7 separate regions of the Mus musculus genome follow, and all the other regions are reported to be linked to region 4. The links are microRNA targets in miRTarBase. Many come from high-throughput screens and were not tested one by one. Region 4 holds a microRNA gene; each other region holds the end of a gene's coding sequence.

Evidence for each region. Region 4 holds the annotated microRNA mmu-miR-3087-3p (UAACUCACUGUCAUGUCCUCA, at 1,353-1,373, opposite strand). A microRNA usually pairs through its seed, bases 2 to 8, with sites in the 3' UTR of a target mRNA and lowers its output. Matches are read on the target gene's strand: a 7mer-m8 pairs with bases 2 to 8, a 7mer-A1 pairs with bases 2 to 7 and ends in A, and an 8mer does both.
Region 1: the mRNA of Mrpl45 is a reported target of mmu-miR-3087-3p. Seed matches in the 3' UTR shown: 7mer-m8 at 362-368.
Region 2: miRTarBase lists Fbxl3 as a target of mmu-miR-3087-3p. Seed matches in the 3' UTR shown: 7mer-m8 at 2,840-2,846.
Region 3: miRTarBase lists Bckdk as a target of mmu-miR-3087-3p. Seed matches in the 3' UTR shown: 7mer-m8 at 1,844-1,850.
Region 5: miRTarBase lists Abhd15 as a target of mmu-miR-3087-3p. Seed matches in the 3' UTR shown: 7mer-m8 at 1,981-1,987.
Region 6: the mRNA of Ppp1r7 is a reported target of mmu-miR-3087-3p. Seed matches in the 3' UTR shown: 7mer-m8 at 2,737-2,743.
Region 7: miRTarBase lists Krr1 as a target of mmu-miR-3087-3p. Seed matches in the 3' UTR shown: 7mer-m8 at 467-473.

Annotation. Positions count from the first base shown.
Region 1 is chr11:97,328,294-97,332,359 of GRCm38, forward strand. Mrpl45 (mitochondrial ribosomal protein L45) reads left to right here. Exons shown (of 8, transcript NM_025927.4): 8 at 189-1,627. The coding sequence ends at 275. It overlaps Gpr179 (G protein-coupled receptor 179), which reads right to left. Exons shown (of 12, transcript NM_001081220.2): 12 at 3,817-4,066. Among named protein-coding and RNA genes, the nearest start is that of Mrpl45, 15 kb to the left of the region's middle.
Region 2 is chr14:103,079,584-103,083,649 of GRCm38, reverse strand. Fbxl3 (F-box and leucine-rich repeat protein 3) reads left to right here. Exons shown (of 5, transcript NM_015822.3): 5 at 140-3,411. The coding sequence ends at 783. Among named protein-coding and RNA genes, the nearest start is that of Cln5, 11 kb to the right of the region's middle.
Region 3 is chr7:127,907,770-127,911,835 of GRCm38, forward strand. It overlaps Bckdk (branched chain ketoacid dehydrogenase kinase), which reads left to right. Exons shown (of 12, transcript NM_009739.3): 11 at 152-310; 12 at 398-1,895. The coding sequence ends at 542. Among named protein-coding and RNA genes, the nearest start is that of Kat8, 2.7 kb to the right of the region's middle.
Region 4 is chr2:25,440,120-25,444,185 of GRCm38, reverse strand. Mir3087 (microRNA 3087) reads right to left here and starts at 1,407; the gene lies at 1,352-1,407. Abca2 (ATP-binding cassette, sub-family A (ABC1), member 2) reads right to left here. Exons shown (of 49, transcript NM_001368624.1): 23 at 3,465-3,661; 24 at 3,194-3,376; 25 at 2,814-2,998; 26 at 2,587-2,707; 27 at 2,075-2,311; 28 at 1,789-1,995; 29 at 1,434-1,536; 30 at 1,032-1,351; 31 at 744-957; 32 at 552-657; 33 at 349-460; 34 at 199-259; 35 at 1-116.
Region 5 is chr11:77,518,591-77,522,656 of GRCm38, forward strand. It overlaps Abhd15 (abhydrolase domain containing 15), which reads left to right. Exons shown (of 2, transcript NM_026185.4): 2 at 1-2,038. The coding sequence ends at 251. Among named protein-coding and RNA genes, the nearest start is that of Abhd15, 5.5 kb to the left of the region's middle.
Region 6 is chr1:93,364,753-93,368,818 of GRCm38, forward strand. Ppp1r7 (protein phosphatase 1, regulatory subunit 7) reads left to right here. Exons shown (of 10, transcript NM_023200.3): 10 at 138-2,864. The coding sequence ends at 314. Among named protein-coding and RNA genes, the nearest start is that of Gm26446, 3.5 kb to the left of the region's middle.
Region 7 is chr10:111,984,043-111,988,108 of GRCm38, reverse strand. Krr1 (KRR1, small subunit (SSU) processome component, homolog (yeast)) reads right to left here. Exons shown (of 10, transcript NM_178610.4): 10 at 1-3,570. The coding sequence ends at 3,428. It overlaps Glipr1 (GLI pathogenesis-related 1 (glioma)), which reads left to right. Exons shown (of 6, transcript NM_028608.3): 4 at 1,435-1,520; 5 at 2,305-2,331; 6 at 2,427-2,661. The coding sequence ends at 2,581. Among named protein-coding and RNA genes, the nearest start is that of Glipr1, 11 kb to the left of the region's middle.

The DNA.
Region 1 (4,066 bases), not on the chromosome of region 4:
CTTGAAGCTGTATGTAGATAGCCTTGTCAAGCTCAAACGCTCTTCTTAGGCTCCACCTAGTGGCGAGACGGAGTGATGCAGCTCTAGGGAAGGGGAACTTTCCCTGGATGCTGCTGCGGGAGGAGGACATCCTGGGTAAACAGTAGGTGGGATTGGTAGGTAACTTGAGTTCCTCCTGTTCTTTTCAGACCTTGATGATTCCTGGTCCTCAGCTGAAACCCTGGGAGGAGTACGAAGAGACTCAAGGGGAGGCCCAGAAGCCTCAGCTAGCCTGATGGCGTTAATGACTCCTGAGGAGCCTAGCAGTTGTGGTGAACATCTTTAATCCCAGCACTCAGAAGGCAGAGGCAGGTGGATTTCTGTGAGTTCAAGGCCAGTCTGGTCTACAGAGCAAGTTGCAGGACAACCAGAGCTACACAGAGAAACCCTGTCTCAGGAAAAAAAAACAAAAAGAAAAAAGACAAAAAGACTCCTGAGGTGTTCCGATGGGGCTGCAAAGTCACCTGTACCCACCTGTACCCCGAAGGCTTCCCGTGCTGTCTCCTGTCCTGCCTGGGTCAGCAGTCCCCCAAGCCCCTCACAGTCATGGCTGATTGTGTGGCCAGGTGGTGGCTGGGGTGCCCCGCCTTGGAGCATCTTCTGTTTACAGCCATGTTCAGCTTCTGAGGTGAAATGAGAAGCAGCAGCAGAGAGAACAAACGCGACACTGGGCTTTTCCCAGCAGCAGCAAGCTGTGGCATCAGACCCACAGCTTTCTTTTTTCTAATTATAGGCCGAGTCAGCATTTGGAATAAAATACTGTCAAAGAGTTGGATAAACTGTGTGTTCTGTACATTTTCCCTGGTTCAGACTGGGACGGAGCGGTTCTGTGATGTCAGGCATGGGAAAGCAGTATAGTTATAAGTGATGCGGCTTCCAGGAACTCTAGATGGGAAGACCTTAGAGTGTCTACAAACTAGGGCACCCTGCTACAGTCCTGCCACGTGGGAAGTTGGGGCAAGAAGAGGACCAGGAACTAGATGCCATCCTTGGCAACACACAGTTTAAAAGTCACTTAATCTTATATGCCTGAGTGTTCTGTCTGCACCTGTGTTTATGTACTACACGCATGGCTGGTGCCCTTGGAGGTCCAAAGAGGGTGTCAGATCCCCTGGAACTAGAGTTACGGATGGTTGTGAACCACCACAGGTGCTAGGAACTGGATCTGTGTCTTCTGCAAGAGCAACAGGTATTCTTTTTTTTTTTTTTGAGATGTATTTATTTTATGTGTGTGAGTGCACCGTCACTGTCTTCAGACACACCAGAAGAGGATCCCATTACAGATGGTTGTGAGCCACCATGTGGTTCCTGGGACTTGAACTCGGGACCTTTGGAAGAGCAGTCAGTGTTCTTACCCACTGAGCCATCTCCAACCTGTAACAAGTATTCTTAGCTACTGAGCCATCTTTCCATCCCAGAATACTACTTTAAAAGATCTCTTTAATATAGATGTTTTAATTTTTTTTTCTTCAGGTTTCTCTGTGTAACATCCCTGTAACTTGCTTTGTATACCAGGCTAGCCTCCCTTATAGAGATCTGCCTCCCATCCTCCCTCCCCCTTTGCCTGAGATTAAAGGAGTGCTACACCATACCCAGCTTAAAATTACTTTATCTTATTTTATATATAAATCAAAGTGGGGGGGATTGGTCTTTAGCTTCCCCACTCCCACCCCTGCCACAGACAGAGTTTCTCTGTGTAATAGCCCTCTGTCCTGGACCAGGCTGGCCTTGAACTGAGGAATCTGCTTGCCTCTGCCTCTTGAGTGCTGGAAGTAAAGGTGTGCACTAACAAGCCTGACCGTTCTTCAGCTTTTATGTATTCTGTTTTGTTTGAGAGAAGGCCTGAAATTTGATAAATGTAGCCCAGGCTTGCCTTAAACATGCAGTGATCCTTCTCATGGAAGGTATGAACTACCATGCCCAGCCTGCATTTTATTTTTAGGTATTGGACTTGTCCCCGCCCAGCTAGACTAGACTACCAAGGAAGAGTACCAGCACTCAGGCAGAGGCAGGTGGATCTATGGGTTCAAGGCTGACCTAGTCTACATGAGGAGTTCCAGGAGAGCCAGGGCTATAGAGTGAGTTTTTTTTTTAAGATTTATTTATTTAATGTATGAGTGCTCTAACTGCATGTACATCTGTGTGTCAGAAGAGGGCATCAGATCCCATTACAGATGGTTGTGAGCCACCATGTGGTTGTTGGGAAATAAGCTCAGAACCTCTAGAAGAACAGCCAGTGCTCTTAACCACTGAGCCATCTCTCCAGCCCAGTGAGATCCTATCTTAAAGAGAAAAGAACACTGTAGGAAGTTTAGGAGGAAGCAAGGACAAGCCAGGGTTCATTCTTAGGGGGAAATCAGTAAGATTCGGTTCTGATTTCTTGTACCTCACAAAGATGCTGGCTATGCCTTCCAGCCCAGGACCAGAGTGCAAGCCAGCGTGCAGTGCAGCAGCCCAGTCCTTGTTCTGCTGGGGCTGCTTGGAGAAGAGGGTCAGGGGTTGATGCTCAGTGTCCTGGGAGATCTGGGCATGACAAGGGGAATCTTACTTTTCCAGCCACAGGCTTGCTTCATAGTGCTTTTGAGTTCTTGTTTAAAAACGGCCTGCTGGAGATACAGCTTAGTAGGTAGAGTGGTTTGGTTTGGTTTGGTTTGGTTTGGTTTCTGTGTGTATGAGGCTCTAGGTTCAACAACACAGGAGAAATGAGAGCCTAAGTTCTCATACTTAATTTTTCTCCAGACTAAAATTTTCTTTGTCACTTCAGGTCAGAGTTAGTCTGTCTAGAGTAGGGTAAAAGAAGCAGGAGTTGGGTCAGAAATAAATGACCTGTCGTTTTTCCAAACCTGCCTTCTCAGAGAAGCTGCAAACAGGAGAGGCCTTAGTGGGGGATGTTATCATCCATTCATCAATGTTATTATTTATCATTTATTTATTTATTTATTAAATGTGCAGGAGTGTTTGAGTGTGAATGTGTGCACGAGCCAACTTTCAGACCGAGGTCAGAGGACAGATTTTGCCTTCTAGTGTGGATTCTAGGAACTGAATTTTTGTTAAGTTGGCACCACAGATAGTTTTACCCATTGAGCAACCTTCCTGGCCCAAGCCTGGTGTTTTCATAACAGCGTGTGTGTGTGTGTGTGTGTGTGTGTCTATTCTGAGGCAGCCAGTCTCACCCTGTTTAGTCTCAACCCTCCAGGCTTAAAATGTGCATCACTTTGCAGCATTACTGTCCAAGTGAGGCTTGGACACATCCTATTTGCCTGAGCCCTGGATTAAGGCAAAATAAGAAGCGCTTTGAGCTGGATCCATAGCCGGGGAGTAAGAAGGAAGGCAGTTAATCCCAGCAGGGAAGAGAAGCAGAGAAACAAAAGAGCTCACTCAATAGGTACATGGTAACATTGATTTCTCTTGAATGTATGAAAAACAGTGATTTAGATGAGCTCTTTCATCCCATGGCCATGGATCTGACTCTGGGTCTCTGGATGGTCCTAAATCTCTGCTAAGCAATAGCTGCCACCAGGAAGCCAAAGGATAAGTGCAATTTCATTTCCTCTGGGACCAAATCCAGTTGAGCAAATGGGCCCAGATGTGAAGGGTTGGCCTGGAGAGCAAGGCAGAGAGCATCTGTTAGCACGGCAGAGAATAAGCTGGACCTACCGCACCCCAAGTCCTATCAGGTACAGGGAGCAGGCCTTGGAGCAGGCACTGCTCTGTCTGCTGTCCCTCTGTTGACAAAGAAAACCACCAGTATCAATAAGCTGGAGCCGACCACAGGAGCCGAGAACAAGCATTCTTTATTATTTTCCTAGGTGGCTATTTATAACAGTAATACGGGGATAACGATGCTCGTCCCAGCTAGAACAGACCCAGTGGGATTGCTCTAGGGTGCACAGTTAGTGAAGTCTACCATAGCTCAGAAGCTGTGGGGTTAAGTAACCACAGCCGCAGAACAATACAGCTGTAGAAACCCAGCGCAGGAGAGCTGGGTAGGTAGGAGGGCTTAGTGTGGGAATGAGGGCCACTGGCC
Region 2 (4,066 bases), not on the chromosome of region 4:
ATTATCACAACTGAATTTTTAAAATTGCATTATATAATGTGGCTATTTTCTAGGACATGCACTTGATTAAACAGTTGAACAGATAAATTTTAAAATAATTTATAAATAATTGGGCTTTGTTCCCCCCCCCCCCCCCCAGGCATTCTGTGTGTGGCTGACCAGTGTCATGGCTTACGAGAACTGGCCCTGAACTACCATTTGCTAAGTGATGAGTTGTTGCTCGCACTGTCTTCTGAAAAGCATGTTCGCTTAGAACATTTGCGCATTGATGTTGTCAGTGAGAACCCGGGACAGACACACTTCCACACTATCCAGAAGAGCAGCTGGGATGCCTTCATCAAACACTCACCGAAAGTCAACCTAGTGATGTATTTTTTTTTATACGAAGAGGAATTTGACCCATTCTTTCGTTATGAAATACCTGCTACGCATCTTTACTTTGGGAGATCAGTCAGCAAAGATGTGCTTGGCCGTGTGGGCATGACCTGCCCGAGACTAGTGGAACTGGTAGTGTGTGCCAATGGGTTGCGGCCTCTTGATGAAGAGTTAATTCGCATTGCGGAACGTTGCAAAAATTTGTCAGCTATTGGGCTGGGGGAATGTGAAGTCTCATGTAGTGCCTTTGTTGAGTTTGTGAAGATGTGTGGGGGCCGCCTGTCTCAGTTATCCATTATGGAAGAAGTGTTAATTCCTGACCAAAAGTATAGTTTGGAACAAATTCATTGGGAAGTGTCTAAGCATCTTGGCAGGGTATGGTTCCCAGACATGATGCCTACTTGGTAAGGGACTGCATGACACAGGACATAATGAGTGAGTAGTACCTTCATTCAAGAAACGTATTCTAACTAAAAGTTTATCTGCTCTAAAGCTGATACAATGCTACTGTTCTGTGGCACAGAAATTTGATATCTTTGAGCTATGAATGATGTTTGTCAGAAGACTTATAGTTTGGTTCAGATAACTCCTTTTTTGTAGCCTAATAGCAATCATATGTTTAAAAATTAAAAATGTGGTTTCATATTTGAAAGTAATATCCAATTATGAAATTGAGATAATTCAGTCTGAAGGAAGCAACCTGTATATTGTAATATCTCAGAAATGTACTAATAGGTTTTCTGAAATGTTCTCTATGCATTTTTTAAAAAAATGTAAACTTGACATTTTAGGGTCTTCAGTTATAAATACACCTGTTATAAGGTGTTTAACATAGCTCAGGAAAGTGAGCATTTTGTGAGAGAAATGTATGATAGTGCTCGTAAGACCTTGGTTGAATGTTTTCAAACGTTATGAAGCTGTTTTAAAAATAAAGATATAACTATCAAAGTACTTAGAACGTTGATGAATGTTGAAGTGGCTGTTAAGGAGGGCACACAGAGCCAGGATCCAATCTGGAGAGATCCGTGGAGTAGGAGAGGTAGCACTCAGCCTTGTGTAACTCTAGGTTTCTTGTGTGATATGCTAAACACATGCATTCTCTTTTGTTATATTACTAATGTCTGTGGTGCCTGAGGCATCGTGTGTAAAGGAATGCTTTGCTCTCTCTAAGTCTTTATTTAAACTATTAGTAATTATTTAAATTAAAATTTTACTTAAAAACCAAATTGAAATAATTAAAAGTAGAACTTTATAAATTGTTTATGAACAGTTTCATGAAAGGATATTAGTCTCCAGTGAACTTTAGTGATGGCTCATGCTTTAAGTTTGGAATTACATAGCTACAATAAATACAACTTTAAAAATCAAAGAGCATCTGTACAGTTTAGAAACACTAAATTTAAAAGAAGATATATTTCATAATGATTTGCATAAATATTACTCAGTGAACTGGAACATTTTAATAGGAAAATATCTATAGTTTTGTGATTGTCAGTTTGGTTGAAACTGGTATTTTATATTAAGTTATGTAGCTTTTCATATTACTTTAATATGAATAAAGGTAAATTCTAGTCTTTGTAGAATATAAAAATACTAAGTTTTGGTTATATTATAGTTTTGGGTTTTTGGTTTTCATTTTTTTAGATCCTGTATGAGCTTGGATTCTGGGCACTAGTGCTAACAGATGTCTCTCCTGAGAGAAGTTAGTAGTGACTTACCCCACAGGATGCTTCAGAGCCTGAAATGGCTCTTCAGTAGTAGTGGGACTTTTACAAAGTACCTTGATAATTATGGAAGCTAACAGTCTTAAAAATAGATAAACTTACTGAGACTAAAACAGAATGGCTGTCCACACAGTGCATGCTTTTCAAGAGTGGTGGTGTTCTTTCAGGCACGTAGGGATGAGAAGGAAAAGACCGACCCAGAGCTCCACACTAAAGGCAACTATTAGAATATTTCACTCTTAAACAGTAAGAAGCTTTGACTGTACAGGAAATACTTGTGCTGTTTTGTGTTTTGTTTTTCTTTTTAATTTTTTTGAACAACATTGAAAAATGGAGTTGATGGTATATAGTCAGTTTTACTAACCAAAGCTTTATTTGAAAACTTTTGTACAAATTGAATTATATGCTTGAATACTTTAAGTCACTTTATAAGCAAAATGCATAGCACTTAATTTGTTTATACTGTAAAATATATGTTAAATGGTTTTATGAATTTGAGAATAAAGATAGTTACTAATGTGGTTGTATTTTTATAACTTTAGAGAACTAATCAAACATACATTACAAAGCTATGACTTTAGTTTCAGAGCTATTATTTGGTAGTCTTTTAAACACCGGAGGATTTTTAGTCTTTTAAAAAGTAGCTATGGCCGGGCGGTGGTGGCGCACGCCTTTAATCCCAGCACTTGGGAGGCAGAGACAGGCGGATTTCTGAGTTTGAGGCCAGCCTGGTCTACAAAGTGAGTTCCAGGACAGCCAAGACTATACAGAGAAATCCTGTCTCGAAAAACCAAAAAAAAAAAAGTAGCTTGAAGATACAAAACTAGGCACATTAATTCTGTTCTGATGCTCTAATACCTGTGAAACTTACCATGAAATGTAAATTCTTTTATGATTAGAAATAAGGCATAGGTTCTTTATGTATTCAGAATGAACCCCAAGAGTTGAGGAGATGCTCAGGCTAAGCTGGTGAACACTCTTGGCAGTTTTCAGTTGCACGTCCTTCCGGGACTGCTTGTAACTGCAGTCCCAGCAGATCTGTTGCCTTTGACATCCATGGCACCTGCACTCATTTGCATACACATACCTAGACACCCACGCATAATTAAAACAGAAGGATACATATGTTTTAAAAACCATTCTTAGAGTTTCCTAAGCAAGCTTTTATTAGAAATCTTTAACCTAGCAAGCCATATTAGAAATCTGTATTAGAATAGTTTTAAAACAATAGAAATTAATTTATCTTAAATAGGTTTCAGGAAACATCCAATTTGTTGTAATAGGCCTTGCTAAACAATAAATAAGTTACTGCAAACTGTTTGCAAAACTTGTTTATATTTGATGCAATGTTAGCAAAAAGTAAGAAAAGTATGACCTTTTGCCGGCCTTAACCTCTGCTTTAAGGAAAAAAAGCATTTTCTCAGAGAGTAAAAGCTTATCCTTAGAATTAATGATCAGCTCGCCAAAATGCAAATACCTAAATAGTTCCAACAAGGAAGAAACTCTTGGAGGCACTTGGAAGACCATGAAAGGGTAAAAATGTGTTTCTTTTCAAAAGTCAGCCGGGTGTGATGGAACAGACTTTAAAGCTATTTTGAAGGCTAACTTTGCTTCACAGAGTTAAAAATGATCGTGGAATATAATGGTTCAATGGGAGAACTCTTCCCTTCCGTGTGTGTGTGAGCGAGAGAGGAGAGTGTGTGCACGCACACACACACACACACACACACACACACACACCCCTAGGCTCAGTACCACTAGACATAGCACACCTTAGGGAAACTGAAGATGTACTGTTTTTATTAAACACTTTCTATGTAATGTGTTTTGGGTTATTTTCACTCTCCCTTACTCTGCCATCCACTCTGCCAAACTCCCTTCTACTTTCATGCCCCCACCCCCTGGGATCCACTATGTTTAATTAGAGATGCTCTAATGAACTGCTGGTGGGAGGTTACTGAAAGATG
Region 3 (4,066 bases), not on the chromosome of region 4:
TAGAAGCAGTCTGCGGCCCAGGCAGATGTGAGTGTAGAAGATGATAAAGTCACATTCCACCTTTAGAGACAATAGGAATAGACCCAGCACTGTATGCTTAGGGTGAGACCTATTAGACCTGACCAAGTCCATGTTCTTGACATCCTGCCAGGATCTCAGACCGGGGTGGAGGAATCGCTCATAAGGACCTGGATCGGGTCATGGACTACCACTTCACCACAGCTGAGGCCAGCACCCAGGACCCCCGAATCAACCCCCTCTTCGGCCACCTGGATATGCACAGTGGTGGCCAGTCAGGACCTATGCATGGGTAAGGCCCCACCTTCCCAATATGGGGGGAAGGGGTAAACCAGGACTCGCAGGCCTCTGACACCCCTATCCTATCCCCTGCTCCCAGCTTTGGCTTCGGGTTGCCCACGTCCAGGGCATATGCAGAGTATCTTGGTGGCTCCCTGCAGCTGCAGTCCCTGCAGGGCATTGGCACGGATGTCTACCTACGGCTCCGCCACATTGATGGTCGGGAGGAAAGCTTCAGAATCTAATGGTGGATTTTGGCCGGCTAGCCTGCCACACTCCTCGGAGGACCTCCTAGGCCTGGCAGGGGGCCGCTGGGCTCCACAGACTGCCACTTCGCTTTATGGAGCTTAGGGCCTCAGACAGGTGGACTTAGATGGAGCTGGGCACCACTCCTCCTCAGCAGGGCTCACTGCTTTCTACCTCCCGGCCTTGGGGGGAGGAAGCAGGTGCCTCTGAGGCCTCTGATACCAGCTCTGCTCTGCTCATTCTTGAGGACTCCTCATTTGACCTGCTGCTTATTAAAGTTTGCATTTTTGAATGCCCTCTTGGGCCCCAAATGTTGGGAGGGCAGGCGAGCTTTGTTTCTGCCCCCTTTGGATTCCCTAGGCCTTGGGAGTTAACCTGGTCATGTCCAGTCTCTGGCTGTCCTGGCACTGTGGCAGAAGTGATTTCAAGGTTCTTGCCTATTTGATTTGGCAAGAGTGAGAGTGACTTTGGCAACTTGGGCTCATTGAACAAGTCTTTCTGGGCCCCAGACGCTATCAGAGGCCCCAAAAGACTTAGCTTCAGGCCCGACTCTTCCCTTCCTGGCAGCCGTGGGTTTGAGAGGTAAAGGTCACTAGACTGGGCAGTCTGTAAGCCACCTGATTCCTGAGCTTGCATGAGGTTAAAAATACTGCCTGCCCACTGTGGCTGCAAAAAGAATTGCATGAGGTTATGCAGAGACCTGATTACCTCAGACAGATACGGAGAAGTTGTCTTAGGGAGGACCAGGGACTTGGGCAGAAAGCACGGTGACCAGAAGTGTGTGGAACAGAACTTTAGGTGAACTTTGAACCAAGAGTAACTCTCCCCGCTGTGTAAGACCTACGGACCTGCTTGGTAGGACTCCCAAAAGGGAGTAGGAGAAGCAGGAAAGGAAAGGGGAGAGGTCAAGGAAATGACTTGTAATGAGAAGTCCAGAGCTAGTCCACTGTCCCTCAGGTACACATAAGAGAGTGAGGCTCCATGGTAACCAGTTCCCTCACTTGACGCTGGGATGGAAGAAATTCCTACACTGAAAACTTTAGCCTTTCCAGGTAGAATCAAATGTACACACTTGTGGTCCTAGTACTAGTGATGCTTACATAGGAGTATCACGAGTTCAAGGCCAACCTGGGCTGCTTGGCAAAACCCTGTCTTAACGGGTAGTTGTCAGAGAAGAGCCTCATGTTCTAGTCTTTGAATGTACATACAGACCGGGGGTGGTGGCACACGCCTTTAATCCCAGCACTTGGGAGGCAGAGGCAGGCGGATTTCTGAGTTCAAGGCCAGCCTGATCTACAGAGTGAGTTCCAGGACAGCCAGGACTATACAGAGAAACCCTGTCTCGAAAAACCAAAAAAAAAAAAAAAAAAAAAAAAGGAATGAAAGTACAGGTTAACCACAGAGAGCAACAACACAGATACAGCATCAGAAGCAACAAAAAGCATCCGGGCCCAGCGACATGGTTCGGCAGTAAAGGCACCTGCCACTAAGGTATCTCCTAGAGTTTATCGCAGGAGAGGACTACGTGAGTCCTGCCAAGTCTTCTCACCTGCACACATGTAGGTTCATACTCATAAACACAATAACAGTAAGTAGAGGGTGTCTCAGCACAGCCCCCAAGTTCTGGAAAAAACAGTTGGATTTACATGTTAATCATGGTTGGCCCTGGCATGGGGACAGCATGGTGTATTTACTATGCCTAGGCTAGTCCTTACTTAGGAAGGACATCATCTGAAGATGTCAGGTGAAGTGTCAAGTGAGGTAGAAGCCTGGGCAAAAGCTGTAATGATCCTGAAGAGGGCTAGAGTGGGAGGTGTCCTTTGGTTGTATCTTCTCATTCTTAGGGTGCCGGGCACCTGGTATTATCCTGCTCTGAACTTCTTTACTGCCCAACAGCAAAGTAACCAGTTTTTCCTAGTGCCTTCTCTCTTATTTTTTGTATGTGTGTCTACCTGTGGGTTTGTGCTCATTGCTGTAGATGGCCTGTGGAGTCCAGAGGGGTTTCGAATCCCCTAGAGCTGGAGTTACAGGCAGTAGTGAGCTGCTTGCTGTGGAAGCAGAGCTGAGATTGTCGACAAGAGCAGTGCATGCCGAATCATCCAGCCAGCTTTCCCTCAGTGCCACACACAAAAGGATCTATTCTATTCCCAATGCCATCTCACATAGATACACAACGGTCAGATATTTCTTGGACCATAGTGTCTGAGTTCTGACCTCAAGCTGCCCCTCTCAAGAACTGTTACGAAAGCCGGGCATGGTGGCACACACCTTTAATCCCAGCACTCGGAAGGCAGAGGCAGGCAGATTTCTGAGTTCGAGGCCAGCCTGGTCTACAGAGTGAGTTCCAGGACAGCCAGGGTTATACAGAGGAGCCCTGTCTCGAAAAACCAAAAAAAAAAAAAAAAAAAAAAAAGAAACCTTATGAAAACTGATCACCAAATTATGAATCAAAGAACTTTCAGAGAATGTCTAAATGAGATGTTTATCCAGCCCTACTCTGACTCAACACACTGTTGTGTGCTACTGTAAAAGTTACCAGTGCATGCTGGGTACGTAAAACCATGTGGCAGGAGCCAGTCAGTCTCAACAATAGAGCGTGAGAAAAGGAGCTTTATTCCAGTAAGCCAGCTAAGGAGGAACTGGCTGGCATTATCATCCCTAAAAAACAAAGGTCTTACAGTGCTGCTTCTTTTCATCGACTAGTTCGCCCACAACGCAGTTCCTAAAGTAGTATGCACTGGGCAAGCTATTAAAGGTGTCCGGTGCCCCAATACAGTAATTAAGGAAAACACGTGTGTGTGTGTGTGTGTGTGTGTGTGTGTGTGTGTAGAAAGGTGAAGTTAAACAGCAAATTAGACATGTGTTACTCCAATTCATCTACCAATAAGTTTACCTTGAATGCTGCTATATAGCTTATATAAAGCTATGACTTAACCATATGTATATATGGTTTAACCTTTACTGAGTCTCAGAGAATTGGTATTCTGTACTTGGAGGAGTGTCACTACAGATTCTCCAGGCACTGTCTCCCTGCTCAAACCCTTCTTGGCTGGAGATGTTCAGTGGTAGTGTTTGCCTAACATTAATGAAGCTTCGGGTACAATCTCTAGCAGTGCATGAACCTGGTGTGGTGCCATCCTAACCTCAACATTTGAAAGGTGGAGGTTAGACAACCACTCAAGGTTCTCCCTGGCCACGCTCGAGGTTTTTTGTTTTTGTTTTTCAAAGATTTATTTATTTATTATATGTAAATACATGTACACTGTAGCTGTTTTTAGACACTCCAGAAGAGGGTGTCACATCTTGTTATGGATGGTTGTGAGCCACCATGGGGTCTTAACTCGGGACCTTCATAAGAGCAGTCAGTGCTCTTAACTGCTGAGCCATCTCTCCAGCCCCGCTACATGAAATTCTTAAGAGAAAAGAAGTTGCCGGGCAGTGGTGGTGCAGGCCTTTAATTCCAGCACATGGGAGGCAGGGGCAGGCAGATTTCTGGTCTACAGAGTGAGTTCCAGGACAACCA
Region 4 (4,066 bases):
GCAGGTGTTTGGCCTTGGTGGATTTCTCTGCCACAAGGAAGACCACAAAGCTGGCTGGCACGAAGGACATGGCCACAATGATGAAGATGGCGATGACCACATCTGTGCCCTGCAGTCTAGAAGGGGACAGCACTCAGTTCCAGGAGGTGTCAGGACGAGGTGGTCCTGCCCCTCCTCAACTTGGTCTGCCTCACTCACAGGTAATCCAGGGAGAGGCTAGCACTGGTCTTGTTCATGGGGTGGTTGGTGACGGTGATGCCTGCACACGGGAAAAGGGTAGCTTTAGGTCCATGCAACCATTCGGCTCAGCTGCATCCCTGCCTGTCCTTCAACCCTGATTCTCCTTACCATAGGCTGCTGGATTGCCCTTGCTTTTGGGTAGGTTTGCACGCAGAATGGCATTGTTGAGGCTGTTGAGGTAGGTGGGCATGCTGTGGTAGCCCTTGTTATTGTAGAGCACCTGGGGAGGGGCAAGGACCTCAGAGAGGCTCAGAAACCAAAAGTTATTAGGCTTAGGACCAGGTGCCCAAAACCCAAGGGCAGCCGCCTACCTGAGCCACCCTCCGCACTGCAATCTTCCGCACCATAGGAGGGACCCGGGCACCAAAGGATGCTGGGATAGACTTCTGAACATTACCAAAGGTGATGGCTCCATATCTGTACAAGACAGGTGGGAGGGTCACTGAGGCTCGGCAGCCATCTGCCAGGCACCCCTTGTTCACAGCCACTTCAGGCCAACTTACCGGTGTAGTCGGAAACGGTCAGAGGTGAAGAGCAGGTACTCAGAAACATTGTGGCCAGTGATGTCAGTCAGGATGTCACCTGTGACCACTCTCATCTGGGGTGGGTGTCCACCCACACTGCTGGGGCATGAGAACCCCGTGCCCTGTGCAGAGCAGGTACAGCGGACTGGCTCATGCACTAGGCGTGGCAGAGAAGGCGCCGACGTCCACGTCTCTGTGGGCACAGTGCAGCACAATGAGATGGGTCACTCATGCCTGTGCCCCCCGGAGCCTTCCCTGAGGTAGTACCTGGCCCAGCAGTAGGTGGCAGGGACATGTTCCAGGCTTGCAGTGAATCCTCATCTGGGGACACGGGTGAGTCAGAAGGGGCGGGTGAGGGCGGAGGTGGCACGAAGTTGGACAGTGGCAGCCCCTGTGTGAAGGACTCCAGGCACATACTGTCGAAGAACCGTGCCGCCAGCAGGCGGGACTCTCCACTGCTTAAGTTCAGCATGGGTCCCAGGGAGCCGTTGGCAGGAGACTTGAGCACACAAGTGGCACCCACACCAGAGGGCAGCCGGAATGTGCTCACCAGCTGCTGGGGGCTGGCATCAGGTGACAGCCGTAATCTGAGGACATGACAGTGAGTTAGGAGCCATAAGTCTCAACTCTTGCCCTGCCCTGTGCTACAGCCCCAGCCCACGGCCTCACCGGTACTCCTGGCGTTCCTCATTGGCATAAGGGATAAAGTTGCCACGGGGCTGGGTGTAGTTGTGGTACTGAGAGGGTGACAGGACCAGTGGAGGTAGGTCACCTGATGGGTGAATACGGAGACCTGAGCAGACTGCAGTTATCTGATGCCAGCCCCAGCCCTAACACAGAGAGGGCTGAGCTTGTGGGGATGACTCCTAAGGAGACAGATCCTCTCATGAGCCCCTGAGTAAGGTTCAGAGTGTGAGGAGAGGAGCTCAGGACTGTTCTACAGGGGGCTGGGAGAAAAATGAAGCCAAGACCCAGGGGCAAGACAGTAGCCTCGCCCCAGACCACATGGGCCAGGCACCCTTACCAATCTCAGGGACAGACAACGCCACAGTCATGGCCACACAGACAAAGAAGGCAGGCAGCAGAATCTGAGAGCAGAGAGCTTTGGAGTTCCGACGAGCACAGTGGAAGCGCTTCACCAGGAGCCCATGGAACTGCCGCATCTTCAGCCACCAGCCCTCGAGTTTGCGGCTGCCCTGGCCCACCTGAGCCAGGGCCTCCATCTCTGCCTCTGTGCAGAGAGGCAGAGGTAAATAGCCAGTCCCACGCCACCCTTCTGGACCCTCCCCAGTTTCCCCATTGGCTTCCACCTTGTAAGCTGACATTGTCTGGGTCCTGCAAGTTGTCAAAGAGGGGACGGTAGTCACCGTAGCCATCAGAGTAGCCGGTGCCCTCCTCCCCACGGGCAGAGCCCACAGAGGATGCAGACTGCAGCGATGCCTGTGACTGTGCCAGCTCTGAGCACCGAGCCAGGTTGCCAGCTTGACCCCCCACAGCTGTCAGGCCCTCTGCCCCAGGCAGCACATCCTTCCGGGACTCCTTCACATCTGCAAACAACAGAGGCGGTGAGGGAGGGAAGGCTTGGGCCAAGGCTCTCCTCTCCAGGACATCTTAGTACCTCAGTCCCTAGTGTCCTCCCATAACCCCAGGCCCTGCCTTGATCCCAGCCTCTAATTCACATACCTACTCACAGGTAGGCAGAGCTACCATACCATCCACCACGAGCCTATCCTGACCCCACTTCCAGAGACTTACAGAGAAGCAGTGTCCCCAGGGCCTTCTGTGGGTAGCTGGACAGACCGCCAGCCTTGGGTGCTCTTACCAGCCTCGCTGTTCTCCAGTGACTGATCTTCTTCAGACACCTTGAGGAACACCTCCTCCAGAGTTGTGTCCATCAGCCCAAAACTGCTCAGATGGAGCGCATCCAGGCTGTGTTCCAGTTGCTGCAAAGAGATCGGGTAAGGCAGCGCCACGGAACGCAGGCAGCGACGTGTCCTTCTTCTCTCCGGGCCCCTCGTGTCCCTAGCCACCACAGCCAGCCCCACACACCTGAAAGAGGCGCTCGAAGGCCCCCTTCTTGACGGCCTCGCTGGGCAGGATGTAGGAGAGCTCGGTGCTCGTGTCTGAGACCAGCAGGGAGGAAGCCACATGCTTGCGGATGAACTGGGACACTTGCGGCTCCGAGCAGCTGCTCAGCCGAGGACAACCTGAGGGGCTGGAAGCCAGCCCTGGCTCTGGGAAGGAAGGGGGAGCAGAAGGGGATGCGTGAGAGGCTGAGGAAGAAGGGGCCTTAGTGGGCAAGCAAGTCGAGATGAGGCTTAGAGGTGTCCCAAGTCCCCATGAAGTGAGGGTGAGGTTGCACCTCTCCTAGGTAAGGAATCATGGGGTACGGAGGACCAGAGGCTGGTTCAAGTAGTCTCAGCACAGACCTTGGGAGGTGCCAGGTTCTGCAGGCTGCTTGACCAATGTGAGGCGGTACCCATCGCCATAGGCTCCCTTGAGGAAGAGGGGAGAGCCACAGCATTTGAGCTTCCCATGGGAGATGATGGCAATGCGATCCCCCAGCAGGTCAGCCTCATCCATGTGATGGGTAGACAGGAGGATAGTGCGGCCTGGGGTAGGCCAAACACCAAGGTAAGTGAACAGACAGGGCAGGCCGAGACACCACCCCCGCCACGGCCAGCCCGCTAGCCTGCTCACCCGGCTTGTACTTCAGAATGAGGTCCCAGATGGCACGGCGAGCATAGGGGTCCACGCCAGCCGTGGGCTCGTCTAAGATAATGGCTCTAGAGCCACCCACAAAGGCAATGGCTACCGAAAGCTTGCGCTTCATGCCTCCAGACAACGTCTGCACCAGTGAGTGCCGCTTGTTAGAGAGTTCCAGGTCCTCAATCATCCTGTGGGCCCGACAGGAAGGGGATGGGAGGGGGAGACCAAGGCTGGAAGGCTGACTGGGGAGAGCCCTCATCTCCCCATGTCCTCACCCCTCCCCCTGAATTCCACATGAGCATCCACAGCACCTCCCTCTGCTCATGCCCTTGTGGGACGTAAAACCATGCCAGGAAGTTTGGTGGGTAGAACCGGTTGAGACCCGGGAGAGTAGGTGGGCAGTCACCGGAGATTTAGGCAACTCCCTGCTCTCTGCCAGACTCCTGACTTGGAATACCTGCCATGCTTCTCACATAAAAGAAATGTGTCCTGTGGCCACATAGTAGGACCAAAACAGAGCTCTCCACACTAATGAGACATCTAGAGGCCCAGAGGGCTTAGCCAATAAGCTTCCCTTCCCAGACATTTCTCCC
Region 5 (4,066 bases), not on the chromosome of region 4:
GTCACCATGGAGGCCACTGTGGCTTCCTGCGCCCTGAACCCTTGCCAGCATGGAGCCACGAGGTCATCTTGGAGTCCTTCAGGGCCCTGACTGAATTCTTCCGAATGGAAGAGAGAATGAAAGGGCTGAGCAGGCGCAGGACTTCATTTTTAGGGGGCCGGCGTCGCTGGGGAGGCCTGCAGAAGCGAGAGGTTTCCCCTTCTTCCAATCTGGAGGAGATTTTCAACTGGAAGCGTTCATACACCAGGTGAGGCTCGCCTGGGGAAGCCCCTTGGACTTGTGAGAAAGACCCCCACAAGGTATCACAGCGAGGGGGGGCCTCTGTGTTCCTCTCTTGCTAACTGGAGAAAGAACTTCACCCTGTGCTACGCTACCTTGAGAAGAGTTGCCCTGGCTCTAAGAAACATTGCTCAGCCCTGGGCCACTATTTCCTGTCATCAAAGTCCCAAGCAGAATAGCAGCCCTGGCGAAGTCCATAGACCAGAGAGAAATTCCGGCTCACCCAGCTGGGAGTCCAGGCAGGATGAACTTGTGAGAGTCAATGGGTGGTTCTGTCCCACATAAATATCATCTTGGTGACTCTATGTCTCGAGCTGGAGCCACTTGGTACAGAAAGGACAGGATGTTTGTGTCTCTGTCCCATTTCCCTCATGTGCTCTGCGGTTGTGGTTCTGCTCTGACTTGCATATCAGCAGCTGGGGAAGCAGGCTGTCGGTTGCCTAGCTCTCCCCTGGCTGAGAAGCCAGCAGAGGCAGGAGATGCTGGGCTGAGGCCAGGGTGGAAAGAGCTAGCAAGGGTAGAATGTGTGTGTCTGTCCCTGCCTCTCATGGTAGATGGAAGCTCTGATCTAGGCCAGGCTCTCAAGCTGGTACAGCTCATCTCCTAAAAGTTATTTTAGGAGTAAGAGGTGCTATTGCCCAGGGTCTAAGGGTTCCGTTAGGTCATGGTTGTGGTAGCCAGGTTAGGCCAGATACACACACACCTTCAGTTCTGATCCTGGAGCTTCCTCCAGAGAGCCGCAGCCAGCCAGATGCGTTCCTCCTGAAGGGTGGGCTTTCTCACAGTCAGTGGGAAGGGTGGCAACCGTCACAATAGTCTCTGATCAGTTTTCTTCTGGTACTAGCTTCTTCTCCCTTTCCACAGCCAGGCAAGAGGTCTGGGAGCGGAGCGGAGAAAACCCGAGGGCTTAGTGAAGGCAATCCAACTATTTCTGAGTGTCTCACATTACAGCTTTGTCTGCTCAATTATTCAAAAGACAGAAGCCTGTTTTCCGAATCTGTTCACTCAGCCACTAAGTGGGCATTTGGTTTTGAGGAAGAATGCTGAAGGCCCAAGAACAATAAGCCATAGCTCCCAGGATGACTTACATGGCTTGGGTTGGATTAAGCCTTTACAAATCATTTTGATAGCTGGACATGGAGATCCGTGTGTTGTTAAGATTCAAAAATCTACCCTGAAGTTTTGTTTGTTATTTATTCATGGTGCCTGGGCCTCACTCACTAGGCAAACAAAACACTCTACCGCTGAGCTATACATCCAGTCCATAAAGTTATTTTTCAGTTTATCAGTGGGAAAGAAGTCACCTGTTTCTGACTTAAGGCAGCAAAACAGTTCGACAGAGACTCTCACAGCCAAGGACAAGGATAGCACCCAGGTATACTGGGACTTCCATCCCAGGGGTGGATAATCTGGTCCTCTCCAGTTTGGGGGTTGGTTGGTTGTTTGGGAGTTTTGCTTTGTTTTCTGCCTGGCCTGGAACTCACTATATAGCCCAGGCTGCCCTCAAGTACAGAGCTCCATCAGAGTACTGGAATTAAAGGCTTGTGCTAGCTATCCCACTGAGCCTTCTAATCTTGTTCTTTTAGATTAAGTAAGAATCAATGAACCTAGCCGGGCAGTGATGGCTCATGCCTTTAATCCCAGCACTAGGGAGGCAGAAGCAGGTGGAATTCTGAGTTCGAGGCCAGCCTTGTCTACAAAGTGAGTTCCAGGACAGCCAGGGGAACACAGAGAAACCCTGTCTCGAAAAAACAAAAACAAAAACAAAAAAAAAAGCAAAACAAAACAAAAAATCAATGAAGTAACTCCAGGATATAATCATCCAATCATCTCAGGCACATATCCTATTGTGAAAGAGGCTTTTTCCCCCTCTTCTCCACTTCTGGCCCCTCCCCCACACCCTCTTGTGGCATTCTTTCCTCCTTTCTGAGCAAGAGAAATGAAAAGGAACTGAATTCTAAAGAGGAAGCTCCCCTGTCGCTGGTGAACCACAGCCAAGGGTGGAAGGCTTGGGTGGGGGATGGCTGGCATATGGCCACCCACCCCTACCCCCACATCTGAGACAGTAGGGATTTCAGTTAATTAGGGTCCTGCTGTTCCGTATGTTATTGGATCCCTCAGAAATAATGGTAAGATGGGAAAAGTAGTAGTTCAACCCTAAAGCTTAAAGTGTCTCTAATGACAAAACTCTGGGTAATTTTTCTAGATCAGCTACTACAGGATCCATTTCTTCTAGAGAACACTTTTGTGAGAAAGCCTGGCTGGGTTTTTCTTTCTTTCCTTTCCTTTTTTTTTTTTTTTTTTTTTTTTTTTTTAGAAAAGCAAGCTTACTAGGGAAGGGAGCACACAGACTTTATAGTAACTATTTTCTTCTTTTTTTGTGGAGCTGATGGTTAAACCCAGAGCCTTGCACAGATCAGACAGTCCTTTACCACAGAGCTCCACCCTCTACCCTGACATAGTTCTTGTAGTCCTCAGAGAAACGGCAGAGGAACTCTTGTTGAGGTTCTTTGGGCCCCAAGTCCCACTGATTTAACCCAAAACATTCCCCTTCCTGCTCTTTACATGGGCTATTTTCAGGGAGGGACTTATTTTTTGAGATGGCATCTCACAATAGAACATTGGCTGTCCTGCAACGCACTAGATAGACAAGACTGATCTCAGACTCACAGAAATCCCCCTGCTTCTGAATACTGGGATTAAAAGTACATACCACCATGTCCAGCGTAGGTGATTTACAAAAAGAAAACTCTGTCCATTACTATGAGGCTGGGGTAAAAGCTGAAAACACCGAGCTCAGCTGTTAGGGTACTTACACAGCATTCACGAGGCCCTGGACTTGGTCCTTAGCACTGCACGAGCCAGTGTGAGGTGCACACTTATAAACCTAAGAGGTAGACGCAGGACCTTCAGAAGTTCAAGGTCTGGAGGAGCTAGAGAAAGCACCCAAGGAGCTGAAGGGATCTGCAACCCTATAGGTGGAACAACAATATGAACTAACCAGTACCCCTAGAGCTCGTGTCTCTAGCTGCATATGTAGCAGAAGATGGCCTAGTCGGCCATCACTGGGAAGAGAGGCCCCTTGGTCTTGCAAACTTTATATGCCCTAGTACAGAGGAATGCCAGGGCCAAGAAGTGGGAGTGCGTGGGTAGGGGAGCAGGGCGGGGGGGAGGGTACAGGGAACTTTCGGGATAGCATTTGAAATGTAAATAAAGAAAATATTTAATAAAAAAGGAAAAAAAAAGACATTCAAGATCATCTTCTGCTACATATTGAGCTTGAGGTCAGCAAGCGCAACTTGAGTGAGACCTTACCTCAAAACAAAAAAAGCAAATCACACACACACACACACACAGTAGGGTAAAGTGTCATCTTTGCCAGAAAGTGTGGTTTCTGTTGAAGCTGGAAGGGTTTGGGTGACCCTGCCCTTCATCCAGATTGGGTCACTTCGGGTAAACAGTTAATTGTGTGAAACCTAGGAGGAGACCCAGGCACCCTCACTCCCTGAGAAAGCATGGTTCTTTGAACAAGCTTTGCAAAAAACAAGCTCTGAGTTTGAGGAAGCAACAATGAAACAAATCCCAAGAAACGCCGTTGACTCTGCATGGTATCCTGTCGCCCTGATCCTCCTGGTCCTCCTTCCTTCCCACCAACCCGTTGGTCTCTTCATTTCTCACAAGCCCCTTCGAAGGGTACAGGAAGATGAGCATGGGGAAGCAAAGACTTCAGGAGACGGAGTCGGGACTGAGCAGAGTGCTGTGCTTTGCCTGTAATCCCAGCACTTGG
Region 6 (4,066 bases), not on the chromosome of region 4:
AGGCAGCCAGGAAGTGAGGGGTTGGCATAAGAAAGACTATAGATGGTTTTAATGACTCCTGTCTCATATCTGGGGACCCTGGGACATAGGGGACCAGAACTGATCACTGATGGCTTTTTCCACATGTGTTCCTTCAGATGAATGACAATCTACTGGAGAGCTGGAGTGACCTTGATGAGCTGAAGGGTGCCAGGAGTCTGGAGACCGTGTACCTGGAGCGCAACCCCCTGCAGAAGGATCCACAATACCGGCGGAAGGTCATGCTGGCCTTACCCTCTGTGCGGCAGATCGACGCCACATACGTCAGGTTCTGAGCCCTCCTTGCTCCTCACCTGGTCCCTCTCCTCAAAAGAACTTCCCAGCCACGGTTTTTTAATCTACCTATTGCTCCTGATGTCGTCACTATACCAACAGTCACAACCCAATGGCAATAATAAGGCACTGGTGGCACCTGGCCTGTGATGCTACACACCATTTGGAGATGCCAACACTATTAAATCTTGCCACGCGGTCTTCCTGGTGAATTGATGAAAGTTATTGTAGCCATGGAGAGAATGCAGGCCTTGTTGCAGTCATTTGCTCTTCCAATCCGTCTATGTCCTTACCTTGGTGGGCATTCTGGGCTGCCCCAGCAGACCTTCAAGTTGGTTTAAGTAGTCATGACTCACAAGAGCACACTGGATAGTCTTTCAGACCAATTTTGGAAAGAAAAAAATTTTCCTTGCAAATTTTAAAAAAGAAAAGATTATATTTAATTTTTTTTTGAGTAAAAGATGGCCCAATGTCTGAAGCTGTAATCCTCAGTGCCCTTCCAACATGAGCGACGGCTGAGCACAGCACACTGGGCACTCTGTGCCCTTATTCCCACTTGGTAAAAGCTGGAATATGGAGAGCTTCGCTCCCTATCACCCAGCTATGTTAAACCTAAGTGATTATCAGAAACGTCCACCCCTGAACTCTTGGCCACTGGGCACTGGTCATGGCTCCTGTTCTCACCCACGTCCTCTGGCCTTATTTAGATGAAGTTTCTATGAGCAAACTCCCAGGGTGTAAGTCTAATGCTGCAAGAGCACTGTCCTCCCCACGCCTCCGACTTCCTCTTTCACACAGTGAGAACTAACTGTGGTCACCAAAGGCCCCTGAGCTTCCAGGGTTCTAGTTCTACGCTGTCCCAGATGGGGCCACTAACTGCCACATGTAGCAATTGCTATTCATATCTAATCCATTGGATTTATTCATCTCTTCATCTGTGCTCACACTTTATCTGCTCAGAGGCCACATATCATGGAAGGTATCCATTCCTATCATCCCAGAAGGTTCTGGAAAATGCTGCTCTAGACTGTTTAGTATTAGTGAAATAGCTTGCTCTGAACTGAGAAGCATGTGCCCAGGTGTCCAAGCTAACCAGTAGGCCAACTGCCCAGGAGTTCGCAATGTCAGAATGGCTACATGAGGTTTAACAAGAAACTGTGTGATCTCAATCTGTGCACCATCTCCCTGACAAGAAATAAGCTCTTAGCAAGGAACACTGGGTGCAGCAAGGTGCAGCCCAGAGAACACTGTGCTGTAACCCTGGAATCGTTCCAAGCACCATTCACGTCAGAATAAGAGAAAAACATCTTAGACCCACAGGACTGAAATGTAGGTGTGCCTGCTGCAGTCACTCACAGGAGCCCTACACACGTGCACGTGGCTTCTACAGAGTGTAGAGAGAGAAGTAATGGAGTGGGAGAACAGGCATCAAAACCCCAGTGCCATCTCAAGGAGGTCCCTGCAGCATTCAGTTGGGGGAAATGTCTCCAAATGAATTGGAATTCTGGAGTTAGGAAAAAATGCCAAAAAATTATTCCTTAAAACAGGTCTAGGTCCCAGGAAGAATTTCCAGAATCTAGCACTGGCTGAGTCCCAGTTGTGATAATAGAAAATGCCCCTAAAAGTCGTCTGCTTGGTTGGTTGGTTTGGTTTGGTTTTTTTCCATACAGGGTTTCTCTGTGTAGCCCTGGCTGTCCTGGAACTCACTCTGTAGACCAGGCTGGCCTCGAACTCAGAAATCCGCCTGCCTCTGCCTCCCAAGTGCTGGGATTAAAGGCATGCGCTACCACCACCTGGCACCCCTAAAAATCTTAACAAATACAGTACAGAAGTAAAAACACTGCTTTTACATAAGAACATAAATGCAAAGGTCTGAAATCAAAGATCAGCAAATCAAAGACTACTGATTCTTCACCAAGAAGGTTTTATCTCAGGAATAAATGCAGGGATGGTTTAAGAGCAGACAGGACTGGCCGGGGTGCAGGCCTGTAATACCAGCCACTCAGGAGGCTGAGGGAAGAGGATGAAAAGTTAAAGCATGCCTTAGCAACAGGGTGAAATTGAGGCCAGCCTGGGCAACGTAATGAAACCCTTTCAAAGAGTAACAATGGGGCTGCGAGGATAGCTGAAGAATAGAATACCTGCCTAGCTTGTAGAGGACCCTGGGTTCAATTCCTAATAAGGGGAAGAAAAGTAAGCAGAACCAGAATTTACATAAATCACCACTTAGTGCAGTAAAAGAAAAAAATACCAATTAATGTTATAAAGATTCAATTGTATATATTCCTGGATTTCTTTTCAAGGAAAAAGCATTATTGTCATTAGCACTATGCATGATGTCTGAATGTGGTTGTGGGCACACGTGTGCTGTGGCACAGCATGTGAACCTCAAAGGGCAGATTTGTAGAGTTGGTTCTCCTTCATGTGAGTTCTGGGAATTGAACTTAGGTTGTCAGGCTTATGCAGCAAGCAATTTCCCTGTTAAACCATCCCATCAGTTCTGTATTCCTGGATTTTTATTTCTTTATAAATAAAAAGATGTCTTAAAGGTTGTAGAATCTGATAGACTTGAGCTGTGGAGAAAAGCCAGTGGGTAAGAACTCCTGCTCTGCAAACCTGAGAACCTGAATTCAAATCCCCATCTCCCACGTAAAAACTGAGCTTGGCTTTTGAGTAAGGTTGCAGTACTATGCATCATTCTAGAAGAAGAACCCAGTTCAGTGGTAAAGTGTGTGCTTAGCATATGAAGGCCCTGATACCCTTGCCAGGGGCTAGGGGGTTAGTGATGGTGAAGGCAGTCTCTCCATTGGGTTACACGCTGTTGTTATTTTTTATTGTCACTGTGATAGAATACCTTGAGGAACCAAGAAGAAGGATTTAGTCTGGCTCATGGCTCAGTGGATGTAGTGCCAGCGGGAGTAGCTTCCCACTGCAACAGTGGGAACTAACATCTAGGGATTGCCTCTCAGTGACCCACTTCCAGCTAGGTTCTATGCCTCAAAGGTTCTACAACCTTCCAAAATAGCACCACCAGCTGAGGACCAAATAGTCAAATGTGTAAGCCCCCGGTTACATTGCATCCAGAAGTAACAGACACACACACACCACAATGCATGCATGAGGGCACACACAACTAAGCCACCATGCTGCATTTCATCAGATCTGAACACCATGAATTGTAAGATACTGGTACTTTATGAACTCTCAGGAAACCCTGCTAATTAGTTGTGCCGTTAGACCTAGCTTTAGCGTGGACCATATGCTCAGTACAGAGATGCTGAAATGTGAAAAATAAAGCAAACTGTATCAATACTAGCAGTAAAAACTGAAAGCAAATAAGATATTGATACAAGGAATGTTTCCAGCAGGCAGGCAACAGATCTGTTATGTAGGTGAAGTAACTGATGAAGGATGGGAACACTTGGATAGAAATTATATTGACTTCCTCCCTAAGGAAGAAAAAGCAATGGGAAGTATTAGCTACCTAACTAAAGAGCCATCATTAAGAAAACGGGTCCCTCTTACCAAAAGCCACATTAAAAACAATCGGTAAAGTAGAAGTTAACCTATGTGTGAAAGATAGTGATCTAATGTATGGAGTATCTACAGTCCAATAAAAAAGGTCAGGCCATCCAGATAGCTTAAAGGGGAAAGGCACTGGCCACCAGTCCTGCTGATCAGAGTTCTATCTCTGAGATCCACGTAGTGAGAGGAGAGAACCAATTCCCAGGAGTTGACCTCTAACCTCCACATG
Region 7 (4,066 bases), not on the chromosome of region 4:
ATTTCAGTTTTTCCTGTTTCTTGAGAGTTGTTTGTGTCCTAATATGTGGTCAGTTTCAGTGTGTGGATGGGGGATACTCTATAAACATGTTCTAACCCATGACTCCAGGGCTCTCAGAACAGGGGAGTTAAGCTTCGGCCCTGAGTGTGCCCAGTGTTCTTTGGGCACTGCCACCTTAGGCCATCCCCTTGGGGACCTTTGCTCATATTCTGTGTCTTCCCTCTTTCCCAGGCTCCCAACCCTCTCACGCCCCGCCCCCTCACAGGGTTTCTAGAACAAATTCAAAACTATTCTGCTTGATTCGGCAGAGCACAGTAAAGTCTCTCTGTCTTAAGGAAATTCACCCAAACCAGCCCAGGTCTTCCTTGTTTCATGTTTGCCCCAAAACAAATCTACCAATTTTTTTTTTTTTTTTTTTTTTGGTTTTTCGAGACAGGGCTTCTCTGTGTAGCCCTGGCTGTCCTAGAACTCACTCTGTAGACCAGGCTGGCCTCGAACTCAGAAATCCACCTGCCTCTGCCTCCCAAGTGCTGGGATTAAAGGTGTGCGCCACCACCGCCTGGCCAAATCTACCAATTTTAAGTGACATTTTCCCCCTTCTCTTTTAGTGTGGAATGGACAATTAAAAAAATAAGATAATAGTGATTTAATCACAACCATTCTACAACTTAGGCTGCTTATGGAGTGTTGTGCTTTTTAACAATGAAAGACACTATACTATATTTCATTCCCGGCCCTACATGCATGCATGTATGAACATTTATACATATGTATGTATGTATGTATATGCCTGTATCTTCTACTGTCTTTTGGTTTCAGAGTAAGTTGCTTTTTGGGGGTTGGGGCTAGGGAATGTGGTACATTGATAGAACATTTGCCTAGCATGGATGAAACTAAGTTATCCTCAAAGGATGCATAGGAAAAAGTCCAAACATGTTAAAGAGATCAATTACTGAGTTCTCTCTATCCCTAAGATATTTGATTAGATAATAGTTATCAGTTATTATCACATTTACATACAAATAAGTTTTTCCTAATTTTCTTTTTTCTTCTGGAGGTCATTACCCCAGCCGAACGGTGTATCTAGTAAAATCCACGATGGCCTGGTACACAGAAAACACCTACAAAGTGTAATAGCCTTTCTAGGATAGGCAGTGTATGGGTGGAAGTTATCACATATGCAATGGGTTAAGTAGAAAGAGCCCAACATAAGACATTTCTAGATTTTTTTTCTTTCCTGGTTCACTCATATAAACTGACATCTTGGCAAATTATTAATCTCTAAGATCTTTAGTTTCCTTACCTGTTTAACAGAAACAAAAATAATTCCTCCTTAAGACTCCTCATAAATGTGACAGTATAAATTAAAGTTCATAAACACAGGATTCACGTGACACTCATTGGCCCCTGTACTAACGGTCTTCTGCTTTCCAGAGGAAATTACCCAACGTGGCCATATAAGCAAGGAGCCACGTGCAGTGATTGCCCAAAAGATGACAAGTGTCTCAACAGTCTCTGCAGTAAGTACGATAATAAAAACTTTCCATAAAATTAAGGTATGAGCATGTGTTTTGAGCTGGCCGTGGTAAGACCCAGAAGCCAGCTCAACATACTAGGCACAAAGAAAGGATGCATGGGCAGAAGTTTGGAGCTAATGCTCCAGACCTGGGGGTCTTGTGTCTCTCCACACTGGTAGGTAAGCCACACTAGGCAGAGCTGAGGCCGCAGGGAAAGTTTAACAGACTGCCCTTAAGAAGTCTGATTTTTCCACAGTGTGAAGGGAGCAAAAGCGACTGCAGCTCTGCCAATCCCATGGTTCTTTGCTGCCACCTCTGTAGCAGCCTGGCTCACAGAAGCCAGGCTGGGTAGGGCTGCTTAGAAGGGAGGGGGAGACATCATCTGATAAGCCAGATACCCGGCTGAGACTTTGGTGTCCTGCTGGGTTGGATGAGAAACTGCTACCTCCTTCATCATAAACAAACTACTTTAATTAAAAGAAATACTTTAATTGCATTATTTACAAATCATATTTTAATCTTTAGTTTCAACCATAGCTCAAAACCAGATTCATCTGGTAGTTGTGGCATGTTTTTTTTCAATCATCCTGGTAATATGTCTTTTGTACAAAAATTTACATATCAAGTTCATATAAAAAGACTGAAAAATATCTTATTGATACTGCAGCCAAAACTGGACTGATCTTTGAAAATCATTGTACTTAAAGCCAAATCAAGGTCACGGTTGTAAAGAATTAGAAACACAGCTTCCCCTACACCTAACTTTTTCTTAATTCTGGTTTTACAGTTAACCCACGACGAGACCAGGTCTCACGTATGTATGCAAACCTTAAGCTGTTTTCCCGGGGCACTATGCAGGCTGGGTTAGCACAGCATGGGAAACTGAGTCCACTCTTCTTCGTTTCACAGGTTACTACTCTGTCGATTATCCAGACTGGCCTATATACCTGCGTAACAGATACACATCTCTCTTTCTCATTGCTAAGTCGGTTCTCCTATTACTGTCTGTTATAATTACCATCTGGGTAAAGCACAAATATCCTAACTTGGTTCTTTTGGACTAAAGCTGTGGTTGGGGGACAACTGAATCACATGCGGCTATTTAAAAACTTTTCAATAAAATCTCAGTCAAAAGAATTTCTTCTAAGTCTACAGAGTTAACTTGTCTTTCGGCATTACGAATACAGACTGACCAGGTTGCCATAGCAAGGACTGCAGCGAGTAACGCACGCCCAGGAAATCTCAGATTTCCAGATCTGTAATACTCATGTTGATAATTCTAAATCCAATTGCCCTCAAGAATTCTTGCTGCTCTTGCAAAGCCCAGTGTCTGATATCCAGTCCCCACACTGTCTCACTACCACCTACACCTCTAGTTCCAGTGGAGTCTATGCCCTCCTCTGGCCTCAGTGGGAGAAGGGACCCACATGCTTACTGCAGGGTAAGATACCCATATACATTTTCCTGGTACCATTTCCTCACTCAGAACAGTGACAGATTTGATTTAGAGGCCTTGGATTTTCTGTTGTTGTTTTTTAAATCCTGGAGTAAAATAATAAAAGAAATTAAGTGGAAATTTTGCACGTATTTTCCTCAAAACCAAATGTTCTGAGTATTATGAAGACCAACCAATGGCAACAAACATTGGATTTGATGACTCATTCCAAAAATCTATATAATTTAAAATAACAGATATTCCTAAAACAGCTAGGCAAAACTTGCCTGGAACCAGTTGGGCACAATGTACACGTAGGCATCTACCTCCTACGTATTTATATTTACAGAGCATACGGCCACAAACAGAAGGAAACTGGTCATGATTTCCTGAGTCTGACTCAGCTAAAACCTTCGCATCTCAAAATCCTTTACAAAAGGAAACACCTTAGAAAGTTCGGGATTTTTTCCCAATGCTACTTTTTTCTCTTCTGCTTCTTTTCGTCAGCCTCCATCTTGAGCTTAACTTCCTCCGCTGTAAGAGCGCCCAGTTTCTTCGTCTTTGCTTTCTTAACCTTTTCCTTGATAGCAGCCACATCAATCTTAGTTTCGGTAGAAGCTGCAGAAGTTTAAAACAGACACAAATGTCATATTATATTTTTAAAGGTCATCTATGAAACAGAGACATCTAAAAACAGTTGGTCCCTCCAGTTGAGCACAACCATACAGATGAAACCCCATGTTGGTCCCTCCAGTTGAGTACAACCATGCAGATGAAACCCCATGGCTGACAGCATACTTAATTCAGTCACAGTCAAACTCATTCTTTACACGTCACGTGATTTGTACACATTACAAACAATTTTGTACTTTGGAACTTTATTCATTAGGAAGCCAATTTTCCATACTCCACACAAAGCATTTTAAAATTATATTTCATGAAAAATAAATATAGAGAGATCCCTTCAGTAACTCTAACAAGGCTTATCAAATTAAGCTAGAAGTATTTTAACATGATTTTGTTAGTAAAAACTGTAATAAACTGTGACAGCATTTAGTGGTCTTTTTTTTTTTGGTTTTTCGAGACAGGGTTTCTCTGTGTAGTCCTAGCTGGC